4 linked regions of the Alligator mississippiensis genome follow. The protein of the gene in region 3 purifies or fractionates together with the protein of the main gene of each other region. This does not show direct contact. Links are inferred from orthologs where the notes say so. Each region holds a gene or a part of one and is shown on either strand. Other genes may lie near its edges. The genes, in order: HDAC1, HDAC2, WDR5 and ATN1.

Region 1 (7,200 bases), on a different chromosome or scaffold from region 3:
AATACAAGTCTCTGGATAGACAAAGAATGACACAATCTCCACTGGAGATTAACATGATTTGGAGTGAAACTGCAGTTCTCATTGCTTACAACAGAATCTTGTATGGAGGCAACAGCACCCATGTTAAAGGTAGGGTTAATTTTAAATATAAAAAAGGCTTAAAGGTAACCAGAGAAAAAGCTAAAGAGTCTCCCTAGGGAATATTTGTGAAGCCCCAATCTAACTGCTAAACGAACAGGAGCCCAGGAGAAAACAGCCACTTGTTACAGTTATGCCCTGGGCTCTCAATTAAATACAGAAGACCGATTGTAAATGCTTTGAATTGAGGATCGTATCTTGAGGTTTTTACTTTGCTAAACAAAATTAAGTTACCAGATTTCCCTTTTACAGCAGTGGACATATCTGCCGTTTCAAGGATTTGTTTAAAGAGGAACTAAACATGGAAAATTCTAGGGTGTGACTTTAAAGCACAGTAGCTATTCCTCACTATCAGCCTTAAATAAGAGGTCTAGTTTACATTACAAAGTTCTGCAAGCAAAAATGTAAGCACTTTCACACCAAGTCTCCCTTGTGATGGCACAATTTCTCCCTTTTGCTTGCACTTACTCCACCTCTGCCAAGGAATAAGACTTCTGCTTCCACCTGGCAGCAAGCTGAAGGCCTATGTAGACAATCCAGCACCTTCTGCCAGCTGCGTAGTTTTTGCCTTGCCAGGGTGTGCTTGCACTCTCTCTGGTGGCAGGGCTGCAGAGTGGAGCTGCAAAGAGCCACAGAAGCACATCTGTGTGCACAGGCTTTCATGGTTGCCACTGTTATCTGCTGCCAGAACATGAGGTGGCCTACTTGGGCAAGGCCAGTGCATGCATGCACGCAGTAAAAAAAAAAAAAAAATGGCTACTGCAATTTAAATTCACCCCAAGATTATTCCACACTAGCTCCCCTGTGTGGAAGAGCCCTAAAATAAGATGGACTTGAAGCATGTTCAATTGCATGTTAACTGACAATAAAAAGGAATGTTTTTACCACAAGGTAACTACTGATAGTTAATTATCCAGTTTTACCAGGAGGTAAACTAGCAACATCAAATACAGTTGTCACTTAGCTACCTCGTGTGCAAACAACTAGCACGCATTAGTTATCTTGCTGGGGAGCAGGGAAGAAACACACATACTGCAGAAGGGCCTCCTAGTTCCTCACTTAATAATCAAAGAGGCTCATGCACTGATGACCAATTATATGTTTCTAAACACAAAAGGATCTCCAGACACAGACATTTTCATGCAATATCTGAATTACTTAAGTAGGTGAAGTGTTTCCTCAAGTGCAAGGAACATAAACCAGCATTTCCAGGGACCCTGAAGTTTTCATCCGAGTTTCAGCACTGGGAGCTCACCAATATTCTGATTTAATATCAAACGTGCACAGACAGAGCTGCTCAGAGCGATGGAAAGTAGAATGACGGGGTGAGGAAATCAGAATCGCATCACTGCAAATGACCTATGGTCCATGCACAGCACCAAGACGGGCATGGGGAGAACCCTGTGCAGAACACCCCTCAAGTAAAAACTATTTGTTATATATTGATGGTGGGCCTATGCCCACCAGAAACTAACAGCCCCCCTTCAATGACTAGAGCAAGGCCAATGGGACAAAAACCATGAGAAAACAGCAACGGGGTGCAGGGTGTAGGTTAATAACTAGGGTGCCGAGGGACGTCAGGCAATGGGACGCTGTGCAAAAGTCAAAGGCATGGATCTCCTGACAACATCAGCAGTTAGTACTGGAAGTTACTACACCAGAGTGATGAAAATTCCCCAATAGATACTGAATGAATTTATTTAGACAACCAAGTCTGGATGATGACTGAAAACATCCTCTGGCCCCAAAGCAAACCAAACGAGAACAGCTATTTTTAGCCAGCTTCCACTACTAAAAACATTATCATCTATAGGAGGACGACGTGATCCATTTTGTGCAGATCGATGCACCTCTCCCAAAACACCTCCCCCTGCTGGCAGACAGCCCGGCCATCCGTGCGGTAGCGAACGTGCACAGCAGAGCGACTGCAATCCCTCCCTTTGCAAGCGCAGCGGGAAAGAGCCAACTGCCTCGGTCAGCCCATTACCTGGGCAAGGCCCACGGGATGCCCAGAGCAGCACAAAGCCTGGATCCCTGCACACACGCACTACATCTACAGTCCCGCCAAGTTTTGCCAGGCCTTAAATCACAAGCCGTGTCACAGCAGCTCCCCGGTGCGGAGGGAAAGGCTGTCTCGATGCATCCTTGCACACCCAGGAGTTGTGAAGAGCTTCACTTCCTCTTCCTGCGGCACCTTCCTCAGAGACCCGCAGGCCTCCATGGGGGCTGCTCCTTCGGACCCCCTCAGGGCTCCCTTCGCCCACACAGCTCCTCAGGGCCCCCCCAAGCCAGGCCCCCGCTGGGGCCCTCCTCAGTGCCCCTGCCCCCATTACCAGGTGCCCTCAACACCACCCCCCTGCAGCCAGGCACCCCCTAGGATGTTCCTCAGTGCCCCCCTTAGCCAGGCACCCCACAGGGCACGGCTCAGTGTCGTCCCCCCCTCAGCCAGGTGTCACCAGAGCCCTCCTCGATGCTCCCCCATGCAGGCAGGCGCCCCCTAGGGGCCACCTCAGCGCCCCTCCCCCCACCAACCAGGCCCCCCCTCCCCTCAGCGCCCCTCCCCCCACCAACCAGGCCCCCCCTCCCCTCAGCGCCCCTCCCCCCCAGCCAGGGGCCCCTCCTCGGTGCCCCTCCCCCCCAGCAGCCAAGGGGCGCCCCTCCCCCCCACCATCCAGGGAGCACCCTCCGTGCCCCCCAGGGCAGCCCCCTGCAGCCCCTCCTCCTGCTGCCCCCCGCCCCGTGCACCCCGCTCGCTCACCATCATAGTAATAACAGACTTTCCGCTTGGTCCCCTGCGTCAGCGCCATTTTCCTGCCTCCCGACAGCGACAGACCCTTCGCGACTCAACCGAACCTGCCCCAGGGGCCAAGGCACCCCACAACCCACCTCCCCCCGCCCCCGCGGGACAGCCGACCTATCGGGGAGGGGCTTTAGCCCTGTGCTCTCGAGACGACCAATCAGAAGGTAGGGAAGGAGGAGCCAGGGGGCAGCATGGTAGGTAGGCAGCGAGGTTTCCTGGACTGTACCATTCAGAGAGCAAACGCCGTGGAAGGAACGGGCTGGCAGGACTGTACCAATCCCGGAGAAGGGGGGTGGACGGTTCTCTTAGGAGAGGGTCTGGGTACATCGGGATGTACCATTCTACAAGAATGGCGAAGGGGGGTCAGATAGGAGTGTACCATGCCCATGGTAGAGGCAGTCAAAGCAGACAGGACTGAACCAGTTGACCCCTGCCTCCATGGCGTGCTCTTTGCCTGCACAGGCATCCCTTGTTACTGCTTTCCCACAATGCACTGCTGCACATCTGGCCTGGCCAGACAGCCCTGTGCCTAGGGGTCTCTGGTTACCAGGGGGTGGGTGCCACAGTGCATTGTGGGAAAGCATTGCTGCACATCTGGCCTGGCCAGACAGCCCTGTGCCTAGGGGTCTCTGGTTACCAGGGGGTGAGTACAGCAGTGCATTGTGGGAAAGCACTGGGGGGGGCCCCTGGCTCCAGCTGTGTGCTTGGGAGCAATGTGTTGAACTGGTGCCAAACAAGTCAGCCATTTTGTGGTATCTCACTTCCTGGTGTGCCCAGTGCTGCCCCACGTCCCACGCCACCCTTCAGGTGCTGGCTGCACCCCTCAGCCCCTGCCACGGGCTGAATACTCCCTTGGATCCCACCTGCCCAAGCACCCTCACTTCCACTTAGCATCAATGGCTCCCTGGCTGCAGGGCCAGCCTTGCAAACTCCCTGCCTGCCCCATGAGTCGCACCAGCTCCCTGGGATGCCAGCATTGCCCGTCTGCAAATCCTAATCCTGCCGGTTCCCCTCAGCCATCCCGCCAGGTGTCACGTCTCTTGTGAAACATGAAGGGTTGCTGTGCTTAGGGTCCGATTCTGATGTGCTGAGACAACCCCTGCCCTACACTTACACAAGAGACTCAGGATCCTGGAGACTCAGACCCCAAGTAGGTTTGCTGTTGCATGATGCCCGAGCAGCAGAAGGCAGGGCCAGCTGGTCCACCACCTTTTACTCGGCATGACAGGACCCCACCCTCAGCTCTGTGCACCCCCAGCGTGTGATTAGGATGTGTTGATCTTCCTTGCCACGGATCGGATGGAGCCACATGATTACTTTGTTGTTTAATGAAAGTAAAACAGCAATACAGGACAGGGCTTTACAATGAAATGGAGAAAGAAAAATCTTACAGTGAAGATGGCTCATTCCTAAAGCAAAATTCTGGGTGGGTTTCTGGTGAGCAAGCCTTTAGTGAGACTATGCTGAAACCCTTCCTTGATGGGCCTACCTAGAGCCTCACACTCCCACCCCCACTGGTCTGGTGCCAATTCTGAGAGGGTCCAGTTCTGGATCTAACGGTGTTGTTCAAATCCATCTGTAAGTATATTATAAAATGCCAGTGTCTGGGCTTTGGGGTAACCAAAGCAGTCTTGCTGGTTGGAGCAGAGTCCTGTGCATCTCTGCTTCTCACTGGGTGAGACCATATACAGACATTGCACTTTTACCAGTCGAAGTGATTAGAAACCAGCCTATACCCATAACAGAAGTTCGACACACATAGACTGGTTTAAAACTGGCGGGCCCCAGTCTAAGATTTGCCCTCCCCCCACATCAAAAAGGGAACGTGTTCTGTTCGCTACTGACCTAACCTACGCCGCTTACTGAAAACCACGCAACTTAGGTCGCTCCCGCTTCAGGTTTTTTGAAAGTCTGTATCTAGCCTGATCTTCTGAGCTGCAATCAGCATTTTTTCTTCCTGACTGTAAACTCCTTTCTCCCTTTCATAACATGGTTGAATCTGATAACTACTTTACCAAACTCTCTAAAAGGTTGTTGGTGTGAACGGCGCTAGTCAGAGTCCAGCAGTGTGGTTTCAGAGTGAAGAAAGATGTCAGCAATGCAGAGAATGACTGCTTTGGTGACCCTGGGACCAACAGACATGGACAGTGGTGTCCTATACACCATCTTCCAGGGATCTGAGCTCTCATGTGAAGAGGTTTTGCCCCTGTTGCATTGCACAATGGGCCCTGTGTCCTTCTACAGTACCTGTGGTGAGTGCAGCTATTTGCATGCCTTGATCACAGCCCCAGCCTTGGACAGCTTCCAGTCACACAGCTGGCACATCCATGCAAAACACCTTAGCATTGATGTACCATCCATCTCCACTACAGAAAGGAATAAAAAACCACCAAAGAAATATTGCAGGGGGAACTTGGGGGTGGAAGGGACATGGGGAGTTCCACTTTGTAGCCCTTTGAGCATCTCTTTGTGGAAAATCAGTGCTGAGATGGGGTCCAGCTGATCCAGTGCAATTGTTGTTGTATTCTGAGCATTATCTGAGACTGTAAGTGAGCTGGTTCCCTATGTTATTTTCAGATCAAATTTGTGATTATAGTTGCTGAAGAGAAGTTTATAAGACTTGACAGTGCCTCTTGCTAGGAGTACACTCTCTGTATAGCATGGGTGTGTCGAGGCCCGCAGGAACGAATATGGTCTAGGCAGTGACCACCTGCGTGGCCGTGTATCTGTGTGGTTATCTGGACAGATGCATTGTGAGTGAACATAAGGCCAGTGTGCACATGGCACTGAGATGGGTAAAGTAGCACGTGCATACTTGCACAGGGAGTTCAGAAAGAGACCTAGCAGCATCTTGGGTCAAAACACTTGTCAGTTCAGTGCCTCCGGTCTGCTCTGAGGCAAGGTCTGCTGGCTGAGCGTGCTCCAGGAACACGCGTCTTTGCTATGGACGGAGGGATTGCTGAGGTCCTGCCAGCGTTTGCTGTGATCCAAATGCCAAGGCCCGATCTGCATAAAGTTTCTGAGGAGCTAATGCATAGGGGCTGTTCCCCTCCGCCCATCCTGACACGAGGATGCCTCCAGCCCCATCCTGTCATGGCTGCTGCTGGTACTGGCCCTCGGTGGCAGTAAAGAAGTCCTCGAGCACACTCTTCATGTATTCAAAGGTGGGGCGGTCCTCTGGCCTCTCCTTCCAGCATTTCTTCATCAGTTCGTACAGCTCCTCTGGGCAGTTATCTGGCTGAGGCATTCGGTAGCCCCGCTCCAAATTCTGTATCACTTCTGGGTTCGTCATCCCTGCACATACAACACACATAACAGTCAGAAACAGCCAGGGAAGGGAGCCACTTCCATATACCGGTGCTGACCTCTGCTGGGAGTAGAGGAGCATCGGCCGGCTCCTGCAGCCAGCCACCCTGCAGTGCCTTCTGCCGAGTCTGAAACCAGGGTAACTCTCGGCCCTTGCAACCACCCCCGTGTCGTAGAGCACCTTCTGCTGGTCAGTGTGGGGGCATGGAGGTACACCCAGCCCCTGTCAGCTCCAATGTCTTTTTGATCTGACTGCAGGCACAGGCTGCACTGCTGTGAAAAATCCTAACCTGGATAGGGGATCCGGCCATAGGTGATGATCTCTGTGAGGAGGATCCCAAAGGACCAGACGTCAGATTTGATGGTGAATGTACCATAATTAATAGCTTCGGGTGCCGTCCACTTAATGGGGAATTTGGCTCCTGAAAATACACAAGGAGAAAGAGGGACGGGGGATAGGAGAAGGAAGAAGGTCACTGCTGTTGCCCTAAACCCACAAAGCTGATGTGCGGGCTTGAACGTCACCTGCATATCCCTTTGCGCCCTGCCCTCACTGAAACTCCCTTGGCGTGGTGCACCCACAGCCCTGGCATGTCTTGCCATCACTGGGCTCTTAATGATGCCTATTCCTGAGATAGCCACCAGATAGGGCTCTAGTCTCAGACTGATGTGGATTACTGGGCAGGCTTCCTGCAACTAATGCCAAGCACAGCATCCCCTCTGCTCCAGAGAATGTATTAGAAATGTCTCTAGCTGCTGCTTTCACAGGTCTGAGGGGGCCTCCGTTTCTCCTAGCCCCAGCCCTAGCTATTCCTTTCACTAATTTCTATGTCCCTTTCTGCAAAAAGCAGCAGTCCCACTGTCACGTGCCCCACCTCAAAGTCCCTCCTGCCCCATGCTAGGGGAAGCTGTCTTTCCCTCACTCCTTCAGGGATGCCCTCTTAGGCCTGGGTTAC
Region 2 (7,413 bases), on a different chromosome or scaffold from region 3:
CAGGAAGAGTTTTAGACACACCAGTAGATATCAACTAAGATTTAGTCTTAAAACTCAAAATACGCCACATTAAACTATAGCACTTATGAAGGCACCCCTTTTATTGTGGATTTTCTGATGTACATTCTTTACTCTGCTGCTGCTTATTTCCAGGGAAGCAAAGTGAAAATAGAAAATAAAACTAAAAAAAGAAGAGTTTACTTCTATACAGAAACTTCCATGCAGCCATAAAAGATTCTCATAAATAAAAACTAATTGTGTTTGCATGCCATGCACCAAGAGATAGTTACTAATTTATCTGCTATAGTTTAGGGTATTTTTATACTATTAATTTTTGGTTACTTAAGCTTCTGGGCATCTCCTCTCTCCTCCCAAAACAGTTAAACTTTCCCTACGGCTAAAAAACGTTATTAAGATCTATGCATTATTTGGCCATTTAAATTAACTAGCCAAAAGATACAGAACTGCTTTGATTTCTAAGAAAGCAATTTTGACCAATATCTTTTAGAAGGAAATCTGAAATAACTGCTGTCATTTGGCATTATACAAATAAATACTAGAGGCCAGATTAATTCCTTTTGGAGTGAGGATACCCAAAACAGGACTCAGTGCATCTGGTCCAAAAACTGCAATAAAAAAAAACACCCTCCTTCTCAGTGGCCACCTAACCATGAAGGTATCAGAAATCATGGGCTACCTCCCTTTTTTTGATCAGAAAATTCACTAGATACTTGCAATGGTGCTTCTGTGACCAAAACTGCCCTGCCCTGAGCAGCCAGACACCTAGGTCTTATATGCCTCATTGAGACTCAAAAACTAGACAGACTGACATTTAAGTCCTCAAAGAAGCTTGAGCAAGCAGGTTCAGAAACACTAACAGAACTGCATTCAGCACAAAACACAATGGCCACCTTCACTTTCCATGAAAAACGTGGCAACACGAGAAAAGAGGGCAGGATCACCAAATTATTATACAAAAAACGAGAGGTTAAAAGAGAACAGAAAATAGCAGATCAGGGATACAGGCCCTCACGTCTGAGGGGATTCAAATCCACACCTCCCACCACCCAGATCAGGGCCCGAAACACCAGGATATATACTAGGCTGGGTGTGGGCTTCTTTCATATGACCAATTAAAACTGAACCACTCAGCAGCAAAGATCACCAAATTCACTGCATCAGGAAAGCAAACAAGAGGGAGCAGGACTCTGCCCTAGGAGGTAGGGTAGCCCAGAAGGAAATGCTACCTTCTCCTCCTCTCTCTTCCATGACTTTTTATACATGTCACTTAAAAAAGTCACTGGACTAAAGGAGAGAGAGAAATAATGCTGAGACCAAGGACTCAAGACTCCTTCCTCTCAGGTGACAGCCTAACCTATTAGGAGATAAGAGCAGAGGTTCTCAACTGGGATGATGTGGTAGAGGAACTGCTACCACTTCAGCCAAGTGGAACTGCCTTGTATGATTTGGGCATGGCCAGATTAGAATGGGCTGCGGCACAAGCATGTGCCCCCACCTGTATTAGGATTATGTGATAAACCTATGCAGAGGTGCCTTGTCCTGCTATAGCCCTTCCTGGTCTGATCCTTGCTGGAACCATCTTAGCCACCTGTTTCCAGCAGGAGTGGCAGGGGAAGGAGGACCAGGAAGTACTGGGACAAGAGTAGACAGACACTCCTGCCTGCTTTAGACGTATTGGGTAAACCTAGTGCAGGCAGGAGTGTGCATTCCTGTCATAGCCCTCCCTGACCTGGCTCTACTCAAGGCATACCAGGAAGCTCCACCTGGCTATGGTGGCATCAGCACTCTGGTTGAGAACCACTGAGGTAAACTGAGGCACAACAGAACTGTGGTTCTCAACTAAGGTGCCACCACATTAAAACAAAAGTTACGGAAAGGTTGCTCGAATCTAACAAAAAAAAAAAGTTGAGACCCACTGCTATGAAATGACATTCCCTCTAGCGTTCTCTCCTGGCTCTATGAATATTGCATTGCTTTCTGTGTAATGGCCCAGCTTCAAAAGAAGCCCTCTAGCCTAGTAGTTAGGGCAGCCCATTAGGTAGCAGGAGATGTCTGACCCACTTGGGCTGAAGGATACATAACGCAGGTTTCCAACTTCCTAGGTGAATGCCCTAACAAGTCGGCTATTCTGTAACAGCAGGGCAGCAGCACCATCATCATCACTTCCATCAGCCACATCATGAGCAGCTTGAGCTCCCCTCAGTTCCTTGAATTTTTATAAGCACCTATCCAGGAACATGTTCAAAGCTCTGATTCCTGAGTAAACAGAGGCAACCTTGGAGCCATGGTTGTAATTTAAACTCAGAGAGAAAGACACATTCAGACACGTATGAACTTAGCATTTCATTCAGACTAACCCTAAGTGGCATCTTACTCAGCAGCAGGGTTTTTCACTTGCTCTCCCAAGGTACCTTAACCTTACATACTGTATAAAAGAGACTAAGGTCTTAATCCTGGACTTCAGATTCCACTTTCCAGACACCCAAAAAGTCAAGTTTCCAGACATTTAAAAGGCCTAGCTTATGGGCACTTATGTCTTTTATTAGATCTGGTGCTAACAAACCAGCTATTAGAAATGTTCTAATACTTTTCAGTTCCCTACTGCAAAATAAGCAATTTTTCTAAGACAGCTCAATTATAGAAGGAACACATTTGTCCAGTTTTAAATTATACTCACTCTAGCCTATGACTTCTATTCATTCCTGTCTATACATACAAGTTAATCAACCAAAAAAATCTTTCAACAATTGTTTTTTTAGCAACTTGCATCTTTCAAAACATTATAGTTTAGAAAGATTTAGGAAGAGCAATCATCATAGAGAAAGATGACCATACAGAGCCAATTAAATATGAAATAAGCAAGACAAAACAGCCACGTAAAAAAAGTCCATGGACTCACCAAGCAAATGTGTATTTTCATGTAAATCAGAAGTAGCAAAGATCAACGGGATCATAGTTCAGCATCCTGCCAGTGCAAAATTGTTCCTTACTCTAGCACTTTTTTAAAGTCTCACCAAGATAAGTTTATCTACTATGTAGGGATTCAAGCAACAGTGCTTGCAATTGTTACACTACTATAATGCCAGAAATATTCCACTCGAGCATAATAATTCTTAACCATGGGTACTATGAGATCATTTTAAGGATTCCATGCAATAACACCGCTATTACATATGCAAACACCTACACAATTCACAAGATAAACCCAGAGATTTAAAACTGGAATCCATAAGCGTCCAAACCATTTGGACTTGAGTTATTTGCAACAAAAATAATTCCTCTATTATTTTTTCCATTGTCCCAAAACAAGGGAAAGCTAAGAGCTGGTATTTCCTGAGGGGTGCCCAGAGGCTAACAGGTTTGAGAACCACTGCTCTAGCAAAAGGGTACCTAGTTTTATCAAGCAAACTTTGCTTTCCCAACATATTTTGCAAACAATTCTATTAAATTAGCTGCAGATATACAAATACAGCATACAGAGCACTTCTGAAATATCTTTTTGCCAAGATAGAACACCATTTACTCTTTTTCCAGGGAAGTCGTACCCTAGCTTCAACAAAATTCTCCCTAACAGTGGCCTCTTTCCCCCCTTATGCTGAACAAAGAACCAGAGCAAGCAACAAAGAGAAGGGGGCGGCAACCACCACTCAGCCTCACTTAGCATGTTAGAAACCCTGAAGAGGCCCCACCAGATCTGCCATTTCTGAATAGCGGCAGACATATCTGCCACACCAGCACGCATTTGGCATCACCTTGCGCTAAAGCCAAGGCTCTTAAAACCCTAAACAGTAGCTGACTAAAAAATAAGAATCGCAAAGCAGGCTCAACGTCCCCAGCACTACTGCAAACACCAGAATAGTGGCCCATCCCCAACAGCCACTCCCAGCTTCTCTGAGATTGTTTCTGGTGGAAAATTAGACATAAGCAAATCATTTGCAGCTGATCTGACCAATAAAAGTTTAGCTGTAGGGAAACGTCCCCCCCTCTCTTTCTATGGCTTGAACCAAAGATGGAGGAACTGATGCAAACATGAAATTAGATATAAATTTGAGATCATAGCTTTGGCATTGCTGATCAAATGGATCAGGAGGCGTTGCTCTCTGAACACACCGACACCCCCATCTCCCTGGCCTGAGCATGCACCCTGCCAGTACCACTCCTGCCAGCCAGTTTCATAGGCCATTTGGCGTTTCACCCGGAGCAGATGCAGATGCTACTTGGCAGGATATGTGAAGGGTTTTGGCACTGTGTTTCTAGGATAGTGAGACAAGTAAAAGTAGAGAGCGGAGCACACACTTGTGACTGGGGCTGCCTAGGGGTCTAGCCCATGGCTAGCTAGGACCTGCCTCTGGGAGCCCAAGACCCTGGGGCTCTGTCTTGAGGCATCTAGGATACAACTAAAGGGAGGGCGGTGGCGCTTGCCAGTGTGTCCCTGCCTCTGGCCTGCCTCGCACCTCTTCCTGCAGTGGTCGGGGGCTAAAAATCAGTTGTCTGGTCTAAGGTGGGATACTGGGGGCTCACTGCACCAAGACAACCTCATTCCTTTACATGAACCTAAAACAGCAGTTGAGTCTAATTAGCTGTGCCAAAGACAAAGTTAAACCCTGATAATGTGGTCCTTCATACAGGACAACGAGCTTCAGAGGGCTGGGAGGTTTGATGGGGAGAGGGAAAAATAAAAGTGATTGGCTAGGGCCAATCAAACCAGCTGCTGCTGTTAGCTAGGTGAAAACCCGGCTGGTGGAGACACACACAGAAATACACATGTGCAAGCATTCGGACACGCTTCACAAACACACTGTGCACAGACACCCGTGCTCTCAGCCCCCCACCCATTTTTGCAAATATCTAGTTGGTCTAATAAAAGATATCACCTTTGTCATGAGTTTTGATTCCTTTTGCTTCTACACCAATACGGCTACAACCTGGATACCTCACCCCCTACCCGCCCCCCCCAAGCACTCGCAGGCACATACATAGATACCCATATGCAAACACACCTTACACACATGCACACAAATACATATCCTTCTCACACAGATGTGAGACACGCATGCACGAATATGCCTAGATGCACTGGCACCCAACCCCCCTTGCACACACACACGATGCTTTCCCTCCCTCGCCCACCTTGCACACACACAACTACGCACGGACACATACTCTCTCACCCCCCACGCAGACTAGCACGCCTGCACTCTCACATACAAACGTGCACACACGCCCACCCCCCGCGTACACGCAGACACGCACAGACACCCGCGGTTTCACCCCCCCGTGAAGCAGTGAAGCGCGGCAGCAGCTCGAGCCCCTCCCCCCGGACGCGCCTATGTGGGGCAGGGCGGGGGGGGGGCACTGCTCAGCTCCCTCCCCCCCGCTCACCGTCGTAGTAGTAGCAGACTTTCTTCTTGCCGCCGCCCTGACTGTACGCCATGGGGCTGCCGCCGCGAGGCCGGGAGGAGGAGGAGGAGGGGGGACGGAAGCGTCGGCGCGCGGACGGGCGGGAGCGGGAGGAAGCGGCGACACCGGGGCCGGGGGCAGCGCAGCGACCCGACCATCCAGCGCGCGGCACGCGGGAGGGGGGGAGGGGGAGTGCCCACTCTGCACCCGCCGGGGGGGATGCGTGGAAAGGCGTTTCCTTGTCACTCCCCCACTCCCGTTAACGCATGAGGAGACTTGAGAGGGGGGAAAGGGGGACGCGAGAGAGAGTCAGGGAAAGAGCGAAGCGCCGCCGTCACTTGTGAACTCGGCGCAGAGCTCCGCCTTCCCTGCCCTCCCCCCCAGGGCGGCACGCAGTGGTACAGCCCGCGCCCTGCCCCACCCCCTCCCTAATGGGGGGGGGGGTTGAAGCGCAGGCGCGAGGCCCTCTATTGCCTCTGGCCTGCGTCACGTGGCTGGAGGGAGGGGCGGTAACGGCACGTGGCTCCGCCCCCTCCCGCGCACGCTGGGGAAGGGCGGAGCGGGTCCCCCTTGGTCCCCTCGCGGGGGGTCTACCCGCCCTGCTCCCAGGGGCGGCTGGAGGCGACGGGGCGGGCAGAGGCAGGTGAAGGGGGCGGCCAGGCTGGACCCACCAGGCCCTGAGCCTCGTCTCCCCCTGGCAATGATGGGGGGCCCACGCAGCGTGTCTCCCGGGGGCGGCCACCCACCGCCCTGCGTTTCAGTTCTTCCTACATGCCACCATGCAGCCTCGAAGAGAGCCCGGGGGCCGGGTCCAGCTGTACATCTGGGGTACGAAGTACCCTTGGGTAGGGTCACTAACCCTCCCGTATTGGCCTGATCTCTCCTTGACTGTTGAAAGCAATCTGAGAGATTTTCAGAAAATAAAAGTAATGATGCTATGTCACATTGTGGGGAGGGGTAATCTTCCAGAACAGCTTTAGTCAAGAGTTGGCAATGCTACTTCTGGGAGGGGGGCTGCAAAAATTGGGCTGCCCATCATGGTACCTGGAGATGCTTACAAGTTATGATTTTCAAATCTTACAAAGACACTCAACGCCCCCCAGCCCCCAACCTCCCCCATAATTCAAACTGTGCTGGCATCCCACCCTCGGGTGCTTCCCGTGGGTCTCGGCGTGGACCCAGGGGCAGCTGCCCACTCCTGCCACTCCAGGGCTGTGCCACTCGTGGTGCCCGCTCCAGCACACGTCTCAGAGCAGCTGCCATGTGCACCGTGACTCCGGAGCAGGCACCCACTCTGGCCTCTCCGAGACAGGCTGGTTGGACTGGGCCCCGAGCCACTCAGCTGGCCTGTTGGGCTGGATGAGCTTGACACCCCTGGATCAGCACAACCAAGGATCAGCACACGTATACATCACATGCAACTGCACCAATCAAAGTAGTGTCCCCCCCGCAGTGAATACGAAGCTGTATTGCTATAAGGGGCTTGCACAGAAGTGTGGGGAAAGTAGCTATTTGGTTTTAGAGGCATCGTCCTGGCCAATAGGGAATTGAGAAGATGGTAGGCTTCTGTAGAGTTTAGGTTATGGTTTAGATAGGGCTGATCCTGCCTCAAGCAGGGGATTGGACTAGATCAGCATTTTCAACCTGTGGGTTGTGACCCAAAAGTAGGTTGCAAGAATATATGAAAGGGTCATGAACAAATTTTAGAAACGGATTCTCCTTTAAAGGAGAAAAACATGGGAAACATGGCTTTTCCCTTGTAGGCTGGCAGAGTTCCAGGCTGCCAGGGGCTGCTTGGGATCCCCATGTCTCACATCCTTCCCCCACCCCACACTGGGGGACTAGGGCCTGGGGTGGGGGCAGCAGGTCGGAAGTGAGGGGCACTGGATTAAGACACTTCATCAACATTTACAAATGGATCCTGGTACAGAAAGGGTTGAGAACCACTGGACTAGATGACCTGTGGAGGTCCCTGCCACCCCTGCTCCTCCA
Region 3 (7,535 bases):
CTTAAGCAGAAAGCAGCATATTGGATAGTTGTTTGGAGACACCAAATAGTTTTTACCCTCAAGCACAGATTTCGGTACAGAAGGCAAAATGTAAATGCTAATGACACAGTTTCACGTATGCCAGACTGCAGGAGCTAAGATCAGACACGGTGACTGCAATGTAAAGGGTCTCAAACGGTTCTAATTTCTCCAGTGGAGACTTTGGCTTCTGCTTTTTTAAAATTACACTGCTCATCAGAAAAAGCTACCATCCCCACAAGGGCCACTGAAATGCTTACGCCCCAGGAAGATCAAAAACCAATCCAGAAACTGGGCTGACTAATAGCTGTGAGAAACAAAACACGCTATTCATCATCACATTAGCTTGCGATCCACAGCAGAGAAAAAGCTTGATATTTGCCAGATGTTAAAGCAGGAGGAATGTCTGGGGTGGGAGTGAGAAATGACCTTTTTAAAAAGGTATCACAAAAAATGTAAGAAATTAATTTCTTTGCAGTTTGCTGCCCATATAAAGGCAAGCACGATCAAGTAACAGACCAGAACCGTTGCCATTTCTGGAGGGTGTGGGGCTTACAGTGGCCATCTGCGTGTTCAACAGCATTCCTCCGAGTTGCCCCTCTCCTCTCTTTCCCAGGCATGCACCTTTTGTTCCAGAGGGAAGTTGTCAGGCATTTGCAAGTTTACCAGAGAGATTTCACCATTATCAAAGGCTGGCACGAAGAGAACTTGATCTACTGCTTAGGTTTAGAGTTCTGGGCAAAAGCTCGCTAAATTCCTCCCTTCAAAGTCCCTCTTGCCTCTTCCTCTCTTATAAGTAACAAAGTGCAATGGAGATGACTCGACTCTCCAAGGCTCTTTCCTATTACCGTTCCAATACAGGAAGACAAAGAATAATGATCAGTGAAATTCACTGCCAGACAGCATGTGCATCAAGCCAAGCAAGGCCCAATTTAAAGGCATAAGCTGGAACTTAAGTAACGGGGAGGGCTGGATGAGATCCTCTCTGTACTGCAGTTAATTTCACATTTATCCACAATCTGTGTGTGTTATCCTGGCTGTGTTTCTGCAGCAGTGTAAGAGGAGCATCCCAAGCCCTTTTGGTCTGGCAATGGGCAGAGGCAATCCAGGATATAATACACCATGACACACACGCAATACTAAGCAGGTCGTGTTTTGTCATTTACTCAGCTTAAAGAGCTAGACGATTGTTTTCTCCCTCCCTCTGATCATGGTAGCACTAAGATACGGTCAGCAAGCTGTCTAACATGCCAGATCCACATTTGGCCAATTCAGACAACAGGAAAGCATTAAGACAGACTGATACTTACAGGAACTGGCTAGCCACTCTCCATTTGGACTAAACTTTACTGACGAGACGGCCTTAGTGTGTCCTGCTAACGTGAACTTTAGAGCATAGTTTGGTTTTACAGGTGCAGGCTGCAAGAAAGATTTGTTCAAATAAGTCAAGTAGATACTTAATTCAATGTTTCAGTTCTAACTGGGATATCTAACAAGCCAGGACACAGGGATGTACAGCATGATCACTGACAGCGGTCTGGATTTATCTATTAAAAAAAGGCGTAGCCCTGTATTTACAGGGGAACATATTTTTTACATTATCTGGCTCAGCGCTGCTTTACTGGACCTACAGAGAAACATCCTCAAAACAACTAGTTAAATTTATCTGAGATGCAAATCTATCCAAGTCAGCCACACAGGCAGAAAGTTGGCCCACAAGCGTGAGCTGAGCCACACTCCATACAGGATTTACAAGTGACCTGCCAAACGCTTTTAAAAATTAGGGTTGTGACCATTTGCATCTCCTTAAACCTCAGCAAGACACCTGACTTTTTCTAGTGCTGCTGAAGGACTCCTCAGAGAGCAGGATTTCAGATGGGCACTGCAAGCTTCACGCCTTGAAGGAATGGAGGAGGGAAAAGGGAGTTAATCCTTAATGAGGACATCCTCTTCCCACAACAATCAAATTTTTCCATGCCTGAATACAGGTGATTTTTTTATTTATTTCCATCCCCCTTCCATTGAAATATCACAAATTGATCAGTTTTCTAATCTCCTTACAGTCCTCCATGGGTACAGAAGACCTTCGGACTCTATGATCATAAGATAGGAGGAGCACAAGGCCATTTTTCTCCTTGGCAAGTCATCTTTACATACCAGTGTTACCTTTTTGGCTGGTGATCATTTCAGCAAAAACACCCAGACACTGGGATGACAGACCTCTTGCAATGATTGTGTTAACTGTCACTAGCAGCAGAAGCAGTTACAGAAACCAAACATCTGACGGGCCTTCTGGATCCCTGTTGGATAGCTGGCAACTCCATTAAGTATTTCAAGAAATCCTGACATCTTTATTTCTCAGAGAGGATTGTGACATTACTCATAAGTCTCTCTCACTACCATTTTACAACAATTACAAGATATACTATGCTACATGTAATTCCCTGAAGCGTTTGAATTAAGGTCAAATGACACTTGCAACGATAAAGCATGCTCTGTAACATGTTCTCTAATTTTCTCACTGCTTGCAAAAATTCAGGATACCATAATGGACTCAAGTGATGCAAGGCAGAGGTTACGTTATACGGACAAAACAAAATTATAGCTCTTCAGGGTAAATCCAGGAATCTCATAGTCAGTCTTGCCCCCAAAGCCTTCAGCATGTTCTTGGCCCTATACAAACCCAGAAAAATTCCCGAGGAATTCCTTCAGAATTCAACTTTTCCTTAAAATCCCTCATCCCAGTTTGCTTGTAAAAAAAAAAAAACCATAGGTAGCTCCCATGTGTATTTACAGACTCAGGATATTGTTCAGAGACCTACACACACCTTGCTCTGATTGGTTGAAGAGGAAGGAGTCGACTGTGTTTTGGTGGATTCTGCGTCTGGTTTCTTTTCTTCTGTTGCCATGGTTCTGAAGCTGGCAAGTCAGACCTATGGTGCTTGAAGGGATGAATGAATGTGCTGCTTCAAAAGGGAGCCTTTCCCACTGACAGGAGAACAGAACTGGGATCTCAAACCTAGGAGAAAATTCAACACTACCGTTAACCACAAAAGAACACTGTTTCAGCACCTAGAAAAGCATCATTCACGAGCGCATAATGACCGTAATCCCCACCCCCAGGAAAACCGATGCAAAGAGCATCTTACGATTCCAACTAGTATCCGAGAGACGAATGCTGCAGACGGAGACAAACAAATGCGCACCAACGCAACAGGGTGTTTATGCCTTCATGCCCATACATTTGTACAGCATACAACAGCACGCCCTACTTCCCTTCTCATAAAGGAAACTGATCCATCAAGCCTTGTGCTACCCGGATGGTGTTGACGCTCTTTTTTTCCCCAGCTGCAGAAACGTATTCTTTTTCTTTGTATCACTGATCCGTGAAACCGACTGCTGCATTTACACCGGGACTGCTAAATCGGTAGCACAGTGGTGTCCAACCTTTTAGGAAACCAGCCCCACACCCTCCCCAAATGCCACTATAATCCTCTTCCTCCGATTCATCCGCTGCTTCGCTTTCTGCTCCCCACCCTGTGCAACTCTGTCTGACCTGCTGCTCGGCTTTCTGCTCCCTGCCATCACATTGCCTAGCCCCACGCCGCTCGTCACAGGTCGGCCAGCCCCGCCCTGGCAAAAGGGGAGGTCGTAAACACGACACCTCCTGAAGATGGGGTCTACACCGCACAAGGACAAGAGTGCCTGGGATGGCTTTTTTGGACTGTATCATTTGGATGACAGGGGTTGCGGTGGTGGGGAAAGGGTTATTTCTCACGCCTGTATCAGCAACAGGACAAGAAGCACCGGCAGACACGAGGGTTTTGTTGCATCAGAGGAGGCAAGAAACCACCCCGGACATTGCTGGGGACCTGAACTCCTCTGCAGGACGACAACAAGCTCCATTTGCTTCGTTCACCGCCCAGGGCAGCGACACTCGACCTTTCCAGCCTCAAGGCTCCCTACGTACCATGTCTAAACCTACTTCTGCATCCACGCTGGGTGCGCTCACGAGGATCGACTGGCTTTGGGCATTTCTGCTCAGCACACACGGGTCAAAAAGGGACGGGGGACCCATTCTTGGATGAAAACGGCATCCGTTACGGGAGCGTGTCAATCGGACCCTTGCGGACCAGCGGTGCCCGAACTTGAACAGCTTGCGTTGTCGATTTAAAACCATGCCTCCCTCCTCCAGTCCCCGCCCAGCCCAAAACTATACCTCCTCCAGTCCCTCCAGCGCAAAACCAGACCTCCACCAGTCTCCCCAGTAAAAAACTATACCACCTCCATTCCCCCCAGCGCAAAACCAAACCACCTCCAGTCTCCCCAGTACAAAACTATACCTCCACCAGTCCCCCAGTACAAAACCATACCACCTCCAGTCCCCCCAGCGCAAAACCAGACCTCCACCAGTCCCTACCCAGTGCAAAACCATACCACCTCCAGTCTCCCCAGTGCAAAACCATACCTCCACCAGTCCCCTCAGCGCAAAACCATACCACCTCCAGTCTCCCCAGTACAAAACCATACCTCCACCAGTCTCCCCAGCGCAAAACCATACCTCCACCAGTCCCCCCAATAAAAAACTATACCTCCACCAGTCCCCTCAGCGCAAAACCATACCTCCACCAGTCCCCCCAATAAAAAACTATACCTCCTCCAGTCCCCCCAGCGCAAAACCAGACCTCCACCAGTCCCCCCAGCGCAAAACCAGACCTCCACCAGTCCCCCCAGCGCAAAACCAGACCTCCACCAGTCCCCCCAGTAAAAAACTATACCACCTCCATTCCCCCCAGCGCAAAACCATACCTCCACCAGTCCCCCCAGCGCAAAACCAGACCTCCACCAGTCCCTACCCAGTGCAAAACCATACCACCTCCAGTCTCCCCAGTACAAAACCATACCCCTCCACCAGTCCCCTCAGCGCAAAACCATACCTCCACCAGTCCCCCCAGTGCAAAACCATACCACCTCCAGTCCCCCCAGCACAAAACCATACCACCTCCAGTCCCCCCAGCACAAAACCATACCACCTCCATCTCCCCAGTAAAAAACTATACCACCACCAGTCCCCCCAGTGCAAAACCACACCTCCACTGGTCCCCAGTACAAAACCAAACCAGCTCCCATCCCCCCAGTGCAAAACCATACCTCCACCAGTCCCCCCCAGCACATTAATTTTTCAGCCCAACCTCCAGCCCCCCCGCCACACGCACACAGACACACGCACGTGTGTGTCTCACGACACAGCGGGTAACAGACGTGCTGATGGGTCGCACGGGGGGGGGGGGGGTGTCCGACCCAGGTGCCGTGTGCCGCACGTGGGCCCGGCCCCCCGGAGCCGCCGGCGCTCCCTGCGGGGGGAACTACAACACCCCCCAACCCGACGGGGGAAGGGCGGGAGTCAAAGGGTCAAAACAGGCCCCCCAACCGCCCGGACGGCGGCTCCCACGAGGACACGCCGCCTCCCTCCCCGGGCCCGGGCTCTTCCCCCGCCCCCGCGGGCGGCGGCGGGACGGGAGACACGCGAAGGGGGGGAGGGGGGGCACACACGACACTCACCGGTGGGGGAGGGGGGGGCGCGGGGCCGGGGGGGGCGCGGCGGCTCTCGCGGCCGCCAGGCGGGGGAGGGGAAGGGGAGGCGGCGCCTGCGCAGTGCGGAGCGCGGGGGGCCGCACAATGCCGCTCGCTGCCGGCCGCGGACGGCGCGGGGAAAGGGACAGAAAAGGCAAGCGCGCCGGCAACGCCTTAAAGAGACAGGCGCCCCCTTTTTTTTTTTTTTTGCTTTTTTTTTCACTCCTTCTCCTCCCTTCCCCTCGCAGGGGAGGCGGGGAGTGTCAGCCCCAGAAGTGCTCTCATAGAGGGCAGCCGGGCTCCCCCATGAGCCCCTCAGGGGCCTGTGGGGCAGGAATGTGGCTCCCACTGGGGCTGGGCAGGGGGGTTTACTTGACTTTTTGCAAAAATATGTATTTTTATAGATAGATATAAATATCTATCTAGACCGACCTATCTAGATATAGATCGATAGATAAATATATACCGATGAACAGATAGTGATAGATATAGATATGCATAGATGGATAGATATAGATAGATAAATATATACCTATGAATATGGTGATATATGTAGATATGCATAGATAGATAGATAGATATAGATAGATAAATATATACTTATGAATAGTGATAGATAGAGATATGCATAGATAGATATAGATATATAAATATATACCTATGAATAGTTAGTGATAGATATATAGAGATATACTTAGATAGATAGATAGATAAATATATACCTATGAATATGGTGATATATGTAGATATGCATAGATAGATAGGTATCGATAGATAAATATATACCTATGAATAGATACCAATAGATATTTAGATAGATAGATATAGATATATAGCTATTGATAGAGATGTATCTATCGATAGACAGATAGATAGATAGACAGATAGATATAACCCCCACCTCCAACACTGCCATGTGACCCGTGTGGTTCACTTGGCAGCTCAAACCACACTAAAAACCCATTACACAGTTCGCGCCGCACAACCGCGCGTCCGCACTCCCATCTCCGGGCTTGTGCAGGGCTTGGCCCGGCCCGCCTGCGTCCTGAGGATACATCTTCCCCAGCTGGCGCCTGGCACGGGCCTGGCCTAAGCAGAACAGGGGAAGCCGCCGAGCCCAGGGAGGACAGCCCTCACCGGACCCAGCCTTGTGGCAAGCTGTGGGGCCGTGCACGTGCTGCTCTGGGCCTTGCTGGATCTGGCCTGTGCATCGATAGGAGGCCAGGAGTCTCCAGACCTGTTCCCATGACTGTAACCAGGCGTGCAAAATGCGCCTGCCCAGTCCAAACCGTTGCTCAACTGGGTCCCGTTTGCATCTGGCGACTGTGTTGGCGTCCTACAGCCCACTCTGGCCTTCTTTAGCAATTATCTTCAGTGTCTCCCTGACGGCTTGTTTCAAATGAAAACCACCTGCCTCATCAACTGTTAACTAAAAACCCATATAGAGGAGGCTTAAAAGTCATAAATCATTTATGCATGAAGCCCACAAGCTCCTGGAAGAGTTTGGGGATGCTACACCAAACATATGGGTCAACCGCTGGGAAGCACCAGACCTAGTCCTCTTATACCGATGCCAAAGGAGTCCCGCACTGGGCCCGGCTTTGACAGAGAAGCGCAGGTCACGCTGAACGGGCTGAGATCTGGAGACGGACGCTTCGAAACAACGCTCTGCATGATGAGCATTTTGGGCAGCCAGGTCCTGCGCGAAGGCGGCGCTCAACAGACAGCGCAGCGCTTCATCGAAAGCTGCAAACTTTGCAAAGGAATAGGAGGAATCCGCACATTGGGAGATAAAACCGGACAGCGACTTATGGATTTGGAAGTTGATATCTGCTGCTGTATGAAAGAGAGAGTTCAGGTGGCGACGAAGCTGAGCGTTTGGGGCTGGACGTACACGATTTAATCCCCGGTGACAAACACAATGATGTTTTCCCCCTAAACGA
Region 4 (7,699 bases), on a different chromosome or scaffold from region 3:
GCACATGGAAAAGGACTGCAAACTATAAATGCCAAATATAGCAAATCCATGGTCAGGTAACTGCTGTGTGGGCATGTGCAGTGACACAGGAGTCTGTCCATTATTGTCTCAGTTCAAAGAAGAGACAAGCCCTCCCTCTACAGCTCTTTGAATACTGCACTCTGATCTGGGTTCCTCTGACCCAAAGATGGAAGAAGGTCATTTCTCCTTATAGAGCTGTGGGGAGACCTCACGTGGAATACTGTGCTTAGCTCTACAACCCACAATCCAGAAAGATGACAACAAACTCTAGGGAACTCAGTGAAGAATTAAAGAAAGACACAAGGGGCTACAGGGACTGAACCCTCAGAAGAGATCAGAAGAGCCAAACTTATCTGGCTCAGTGAAGCTCAGGTAAGCGCTGTTCTACAGGAGAAAATGTATTGATGTAATTATACCTGTATAGGAATGCAGCTATAGTCATATTGCATTCATTCCTTTTTGATCCCTGGTATTCAGGAATAAAAGTGCCCAAACAGGGAGCTATACTGGTATTCCTGTGTAGACAAGCCATAAGGTGGGGATAAAAGGGCCCACTGAATTTGCCTGAGGGGAGCAAAGCCTGAGGAGGAAAAATACTAGAACAGATTAAACCCATTGAACCCCTTCATTAGGATTCATGAGACATTAAATTTGCAAATGATTGGGTGAGATGTATTGTTACCAGCGAGCTTTATGGTTCCTTCAGAGCCATACTGAAAAGCTCAGTCAAGAATTCGAACAATTTCCCCAAGACCACAAAGAGAAAAGAGGTCTTCCTGCCTAGGAAGACCAGATCCTCCAATCAGGAAACAGAAACCATCATCTGTGACTTAGAGGTCTCACCACATGGCGCAAATTCTCCTTTCAAGCAGCTCATTAGCAACCATTGGCCAACATTTATTCTCACAGATGATTTGTTACATAATCATAAGTAACATATGTGAAAATAATGACACAGTCCAAGGAGAAAAGAGTGATATTTCTCAGATAAATTAATCCCAACAAATCATTTGACCAGCTCCTGTTCACAACCTCCCCCCTGATGTCAGTCAGGATTTTGTAGGAGTGACTTCATCTGCTTATTTAAATTTGTCTACCTCTGGGGTACAGGGCATTTAGTTCTTTAACAGTCATACAGCAATGCTGCACAATGGTAAAGGGCAGGGAGTGAAAGAGAGCACTGAATCTCACAACAACTATGGGGCGGTTTCGGCAGGCAGAACCAAGCTACCATAGAGAGCACTGAGGTGGGAGCACTGAGGTTAGCACCCCAACTCCTGCAGAAAGTGATGGGAACTTTAACAATCACAACAGATTAACGCTTCAACCTGGTATCTAATGTGAAATACATCACTCATGAAGCATCTCAATTCTTCACACAGTACTCCACTGTTCAGGCCAACACTGAGCGCACACCCCTCTGAATGCACATACATGCAAACCACATTACTCGCCATTTTCTCCCCTCTCCATAGGTCCCTGTCGTCTTTGCCCTCTCCTTCAGTTTCAGGAGGCACATCAAATCTCAGGCAATCCTCCCAGTACAACTGGGGCCAGAGATACTGAAGCTGTGTAAGGACTCAGTGTTCCAGAAGAACCAGAAAAGGGCAGAGGAGCCCTACTGGCCACGAAGCATGGGGCAATCAGAGTAACAGTAGGGCAACTAACAGCCAAGGGAGCCAGAGCACAAAGGAAAAAAAAGCAAATAATGCTAAGAGGTTGGCCAAAACGTCGTCCTCGGCAGTCCTTCGATTTGAGGATGATCTCTACCACGGCTCATTGACCAGCACAATAGCAACTCTGTCAACACGGAGATGGCACAATGGCCACCAGAAAAGGCAATCAAATACACCTCAGTGATAAACAATAATGATGGTGGGCTAATGCAAGAACCAGCAAGTGAGTCGCATTGTAGCAATGTGACAGTCACCGAGCACAAAAGGGCAGGTGGCCCAAAGGGGATCATGCCCAAGAGGATCCCCAGCTAACAGCCCAGGGGGCTCCCTGCAAAACCCAACTGGCTGGCCCCAGCCATGGGGGCAGCAGGCACAAGACTAGAGGCCGAGCCCTCAACACATGAGCGGCCCAGCCGAGAAGCCAGAAAAGCCGGGTCAAAGGGGCCAGGAAAGCCAGGCTACAACCCACTTGCAGGCCGGGTCTCTTCCCTGGGGCACCCCCTGCAGTGAATGGGTGGGGGGGCCCTGAAGCGCGTGCGGAGAGGCAGCGCCCGGGCCAGCAGCTCCGTCCTGCCCGGGGGGCGCCGCGCTGCGCTCTCCTCTCCCCAAGCGGCCCGGGCGGGCAGAGGCAGCGCCGCGAAGTGAGACCCAAGGGTGTCCGCGGGCAGCGGCAGCCCGGGCTGCTGCTCCTTGTCCAGCATTGTTGTGGCGCGGCTCGGGCCCGGCCCCAGCCCCGGCCCCGCTGCGGGGGGAGCAGGGAGTGCCGCCCTCTCCCCCTGGGGGCTGCCCGCGCGCCCCCGCCCCTCGCCCCGGGCGCGGACTCACCGGCGCTGCGGAGCCGTCGGCTGCAGGGGAAGGCGCCCGTCCTCGCCGGGGGTGGCGGAGCGGCCGCAGGGCCCGGCCGGGGCGGCGGAGGAGCGGCAGCAGCAGCGCTCAGGCGCCGGCGGCTCTGCCCCGGCCCCGGCCCCGGCCCCCGCGCCGCGCGGCCCCCGCGCCCGCCCGCGCCCCGCCGCCCGCCATCCCAGTCCGCCGCGGCTCTCGCCCCGCGCCCGCCGGGGGAGCGGGGGAGGAGGAGGAATCCTGCCGCTCCGCGCGGCAGCGGGAGGGAGGAAGGGGCAGGGAGGCGTGTGCGTGTGCGTGTGTGTGCAGGGGGGCCGGCCCGCTACAGCCCCCGCCCCTGGGGCCGAGGGGGTGCGCCCCACTCCCAGCTGCCCCCCCTCGATCACGCGCGCACACACACGCACACGCAGTGCGGGGCGGCGGGAGCCTTCACCTGCCCCGCGGCGCCCCCCCTTCCCGGGGCCCCTGGGTGGAGGCCCGGCTGCTGCCCCCGGGCCCCTCAGCCTCCCTCCCCGGCTCAGTGCCACTCCTCGGGCTCCCCGCAAGCCCCCTCCCACCCAAGCCCCAGTACAAAGGAATGGGAGAAGCCTGGAGCTTTTTTGGCAAGACAGACCCGGGAGCAACAGCATCAGGAAAGGGAGGGAAGAGCCGGCTTGGATCGCTCCGGAGCGGGAGTCCCGGCCTGCACCCCCAGCCCCGGGCCAGGCGGGCGGGCGGCACCTTAGGAGCGCCAGGGCCACAGGGTGCGGGTCTGAGAGCTTGTTTCTCTGCCCACGGGAGGCGGCCCCCTTTAATCCCGTCTGAAGCCAGGCTTGAGTCGGGGGGAGGGAGAGGGGTCTTGTAGGGCGCCCTACAAGCCAAGGCCCCCCCTCCGGCCTCAAGACTTGCCCGCCCCTGTCTTGCCCGGGTCGGGGCTGGAGCCTGGCGCCCTCCCGGCCGCTCTCCAGCACCGCCACCCGCTGAGCAGCCGCTCCCAGCGCCAAGGGTGTGCCTGGAGCCGGCATCCTCCCCCAGCCCGGTCAGCGGTGCCTGTGCAAACCGGCCGGCCACAGCTCCATGCCTGGCCTTTGCTTTCACCGGCCTGGATCTAATCAGCATTCAGAGTCTGCCTGAAGGATTACACAAACTGCACACACTTCAATTGCTCACCCCCCTCCCCTCTCCATCTTTCCCTCCTGGAGCCTGTCCCATCCCCCTTTCCCAGTTACCAAGCAACGGCACAAAGGGAGAGTCTATAGTGTGGAGGCCAAGAGAGGGCTCTCAGCCCTGCAAGAATGGAGAAGCCTGTAACCCAATCCGCGCCTTTGTACCTGAGACTGTGGGGAGGAGAGGGATGGAGAGGAGCAGAGGCAGGCACACGCAGAAAGAACGGATAAATATATGCAGCTGGCAACGAGGCCCAAGAGCTGTATGCCTTAGAAAATACAAGATTCCAGTCCAAAACGATAAACCCACACAGTGAACAGGAGTGAAAATACATTGGTGGCATCCTCAAAACACCATTTATTATGGAGTGGGGAGCTTCTCCCGAGTTAAGGTTGCAGTAAGCTTCCAACCCAGGCCTTCCTTTAGCCTCCCAATTATTTCAATTTGAAAATTGCCACCTTTATTCCCAATGCAAAGGAGGTTTATGAGACTGCTGAATTCATCTCAGCAAAAAGACTGCTTGAGTTATACGTCATTAAAAATGACCCTGAATTTTTCAGTCTTAGGGTTTCATCAGGTGTTTCTTTTCATGCCTCTGCTTCAAAAGGCCTCTTTATACAATCCCCAGAATTCAATTTTATTGAAAATACATGCTCTAACTATTTTGGAGAGAAAGGGTTGTAATTAAATGAAGTGGCTAATGATGTTTGTTTTGTGTGAGAGAGAGAGAAGGATCTGATTCTGCTCCCATTGGTTTCATCTGGAGATGTCAGTCCTTGACACAAGGAAATGGTGGGTGTGGGTGTGTGCACATCCGCACATGTCTGGGTGGGTAGGTGTGCACATGCACATACGTGTGTTTGGGTGGGTCAGTGTGTGTGTGGGTATGCATGAGTGTGTGGGTGTGAGAGAGAGAGAGAGGGAGGGAGAGAGAGCTTGAGCAAGAAAGAGTGCAAGTGACCAAGACCATGTTACCCTTCATTGGCTGGATTAAGTTCAGTAGATAAGGATGTTCCTATCAGCAACACCTAATAGCTCCTTAAGTGCACGTATAGAGGCCTCAAACTGTGCCATAATGTTTCTAACGTTATAATGATATTTTACTGTACTAGAAAACCCCAAAGAATGCCAGATTGTCAAGTCAAGTGCTTGAAAATTAGGACGTGCTAGAATTAAGGTTGCCAGTACAACTTTAATTTGGGACCCTTATGCATATGTATTCTGATTTTAATTTTACTATCACATTCTATTTTTTCCACAGGACTACTGCTTCTTTCTGTGCACAGGTTGAACAGCACTCACTGAATGGATAGCCAATATTTATTTTTATCTTCATCATTCATTATGTGGCTCCAAGCGTTATTTACTGTACGGCATCCAAACCCTGCAATGAACACAGAATTATTACTTTTCTCATGGGTTTTTCAATGATGCTCATCACCATAATATCTGGATGCTTTACAAATGTTAATGAACTTATCTTTTTAATATTCCTGTAAGCTACCATTATCCCTATTTCACATACAGGGAACTAAGGCTCAACGATTAATACTAAAATTGTCAGAAGTGTCCATATAGTTGGAGTGACCAACTGGAAATGGTCTGACTTTTCAGAGTACTAGCAATTAATAGCACGTTATCTGTTCAGAACACTCCTCTAATTTATCTATTCTAAAGCATGGTTGTGAATGCTTGTCTCCTGTACTTATCAGAGTCCAAGTGTTTTTTCAAGTTAGGCCCCAGAAAATAAGGAATACATTTGTATAGCTGTTGAACCTAGAAGACCCATTCATGGGCCTTGATCCCAGTGTATTAGGTACTGAACAAATACAGAACAGAAGAAATATCCCTGCCTAGAGGGATATAGATAGATTCAAAAGGAAATGCCAGAAATAATGAGATGATATTGGACAGAAAGAAAGGCAGTAGTCTCATAACTCTAACAGCCTAACCACTGTCAAATTTTTGTAGGCATCATATTTAATGAGGTTTTTGAAGAAGGATAATGAGGTAGATTGGCAAAAGTTCATGATCTTCTTCCAAGCATTAGGGACACCAGTGAAAACCTGGATTAAGTGTCTTGCTCCACATCGCATAAGAACTCTATGGCAAAGGTAAAAATACAGTCTAATTCTCCATGAGACCATCCTTTACCTCAGAGGTGGGCAAAATACAGGTTGAGAGTAGGATCTGTCTGACCCACTAAGGGATTTTGTCCAGCCTGTGGCAGGTCCCATAGCTCAGGCTCAGGGCACAGCCCAGGCTGTGGCATGTGCAGTCAGTTCAGAAACCCAGCAGGGCTGGAGCGGTGCAGTAGTTGGACTCACTTCCCAGCAACCCCAGTGGCGGTGGCTCCTTCCAGCTGCCACCACCACTGGGCCCAGCCCCACTGCCTTGGCACCCCAGCCCATCTGCCCTGCACCCAACACTGGGGGCAGGACCCATGCAGGCAGGCCAGGTGGATGGGATGGGATGGGATGGGGCCACGGGCAGGCAGGAAATGGTATTTGGGAGCAGGACAGGCAGATGAGGTCAAGATCACGGGGCAGGATTGTGAAGCAGTGACAGCATGGGGCTGGGGCAGAGCTGCAATCTGCTGCCCACACGGCCCCATGACGAGTGTAGGTTCTGTGGGCAGGGACTTGTGGGGAGCAGATCATAGCTCTGCCCCTGGCTCTGGTGCCAAGTTATCACCATCCAAGATCCCAGCCCCGGATGCTTCTTCCTGCCCACAGGTGGCCTCATCCTGTCTGTCTAGACATTTGCCCTGCCCACACAGGTCCCGGCTGGTCTCCATAGAGACCTTGGGACCACTAGCCAGTGACAGTGCGGGGCTGGAGCTGGGGACAGAGCCACGATCCACTCCCTACATGCCCCTGCCTGGAACCAGTGCCCATTGCAAGGACGTCAGTAGTGGATCATAGGTCTGCCCAGGGCCCTGGCCCCATGCAGTCACCATCCCACAATCCCAGTCCTGGCCCTGGCTGCCCACCCATCCTGCTCCCGGATGCCTCCCCCTGCCCACTTATGGCCCCATTCAAGCCCCCCAGCCGAGTGCCCAAGGAATTTTAGTGAACTGTTGCTTGCGAGAATGGGGGCAGGTGTACTGACTGGCAGAGGGAAGAGGTTGATGTCATATATTTGGACTTCAAAAAAGCCTTTGACCCGGTGTTCCATGATGTCCTCATGGAAAAAATGGGCAACTGCAGCCTCGACTACTCCACAATCTGATGGCTGGAGAACTGGCTCCAAGGTCGGACCCAGAGAGTGGTAGTTAATGGAACTGAATCAACATGGCACTCAGTGACGAGTGGCGTCCCCCAAGGCTCTGTTCTTGGACCTGTACTCTTTAATGTATTTATAAATGATCTGGACACTGGTGCAAAAGCAGACTGGCCAAGTTAGCTGACAACACCAAACTTTGGGGAAGAGTCTCCAAACTTGAGGATAGGTTTGTGATCCAGGCCAACCTCAATAGGCTTGCAAGTAAGGTTCCCTCTAAGGTGCGCGTACGCGACCACGCACAAGTAAAAGGCTGGCCGCGCACAAACTTTTTAGTCTGTGCACCCGCTGGGATAGGAGCTGGGCTGCAGCGTGGGACACTTACATGATGGTAAGTTCCTCCAAGAGGTGAGGCAGAGGCGGAGGCAGGAGCCTGGCACAGACTCCAGGGAACTGCTCCATTCCCCCGCTTTGCCTCGGGGAGCAAGCAGCCACGTGGCATCAGGGCTGGGGAGTGGAGCACTTCCCCGGAGCTGACAGAGCCCTGGAGCACTTCCCCTGAGCCAGCAGAGCCTCACTCAGGGCAGGCAGTGGCTCCTCCCTGAGGTGAGGCAAGGCAGGGATAGAGGCTGGGGCTGGGGGCTGGTGCAGGCTCTGCTGGCTCTGGGGAAGTGCTCCACTCCCCAGCCCTGATGCCATATGCCTCCTTGCTCCCTGAGGTGAAGCAGGGGAGTGGAGCAGTGTCCTGGAGCCAGCGGAGCCCACTCCAACCCCTAGCCCCCAGCCCCTAATTT

Evidence for each region.
Region 1: the proteins of WDR5 (region 3) and HDAC1 purify together in Homo sapiens (affinity purification with mass spectrometry; 8 studies listed by BioGRID and IntAct, counting the BioPlex papers as one, with this or other methods). This does not show direct contact. The link is inferred for Alligator mississippiensis from reciprocal best matches to the Homo sapiens genes WDR5 and HDAC1.
Region 2: the proteins of WDR5 (region 3) and HDAC2 purify together in Homo sapiens (affinity purification with mass spectrometry; 7 studies listed by BioGRID and IntAct, with this or other methods). This does not show direct contact. The link is inferred for Alligator mississippiensis from reciprocal best matches to the Homo sapiens genes WDR5 and HDAC2.
Region 4: the proteins of WDR5 (region 3) and ATN1 purify together in Homo sapiens (affinity purification with mass spectrometry; 4 studies listed by BioGRID and IntAct, counting the BioPlex papers as one, with this or other methods). This does not show direct contact. The link is inferred for Alligator mississippiensis from reciprocal best matches to the Homo sapiens genes WDR5 and ATN1.

The regions. Positions count from the first base shown.
Region 1 is NC_081829.1:5,643,997-5,651,196, reverse strand, and holds the start of HDAC1 (histone deacetylase 1), read right to left. Parts: upstream 3,017-7,200; 5' UTR 2,946-3,016; coding exon 2,897-2,945; intron 1-2,896. Other genes in the region: tyrosine-protein kinase Lck, read right to left, coding at 6,030-6,232, 6,535-6,666. UniProt on the Homo sapiens protein: Histone deacetylase that catalyzes the deacetylation of lysine residues on the N-terminal part of the core histones (H2A, H2B, H3 and H4).
Region 2 is NC_081824.1:99,432,504-99,439,916, forward strand, and holds the start of HDAC2 (histone deacetylase 2), read right to left. Parts: upstream 3,004-7,413; 5' UTR 2,976-3,003; coding exon 2,921-2,975; intron 1-2,920. UniProt on the Homo sapiens protein: Histone deacetylase that catalyzes the deacetylation of lysine residues on the N-terminal part of the core histones (H2A, H2B, H3 and H4).
Region 3 is NC_081835.1:61,654,242-61,661,776, reverse strand, and holds the start of WDR5 (WD repeat-containing protein 5), read right to left. Parts: upstream 3,019-7,535; 5' UTR 2,928-3,018; coding exon 2,847-2,927; intron 1,438-2,846; coding exon 1,329-1,437; intron 1-1,328.
Region 4 is NC_081824.1:244,060,572-244,068,270, reverse strand, and holds the start of ATN1 (atrophin-1), read right to left. Parts: upstream 3,012-7,699; 5' UTR 2,523-3,011; intron 1-2,522. UniProt on the Homo sapiens protein: Transcriptional corepressor. Recruits NR2E1 to repress transcription. Promotes vascular smooth cell (VSMC) migration and orientation. Corepressor of MTG8 transcriptional repression.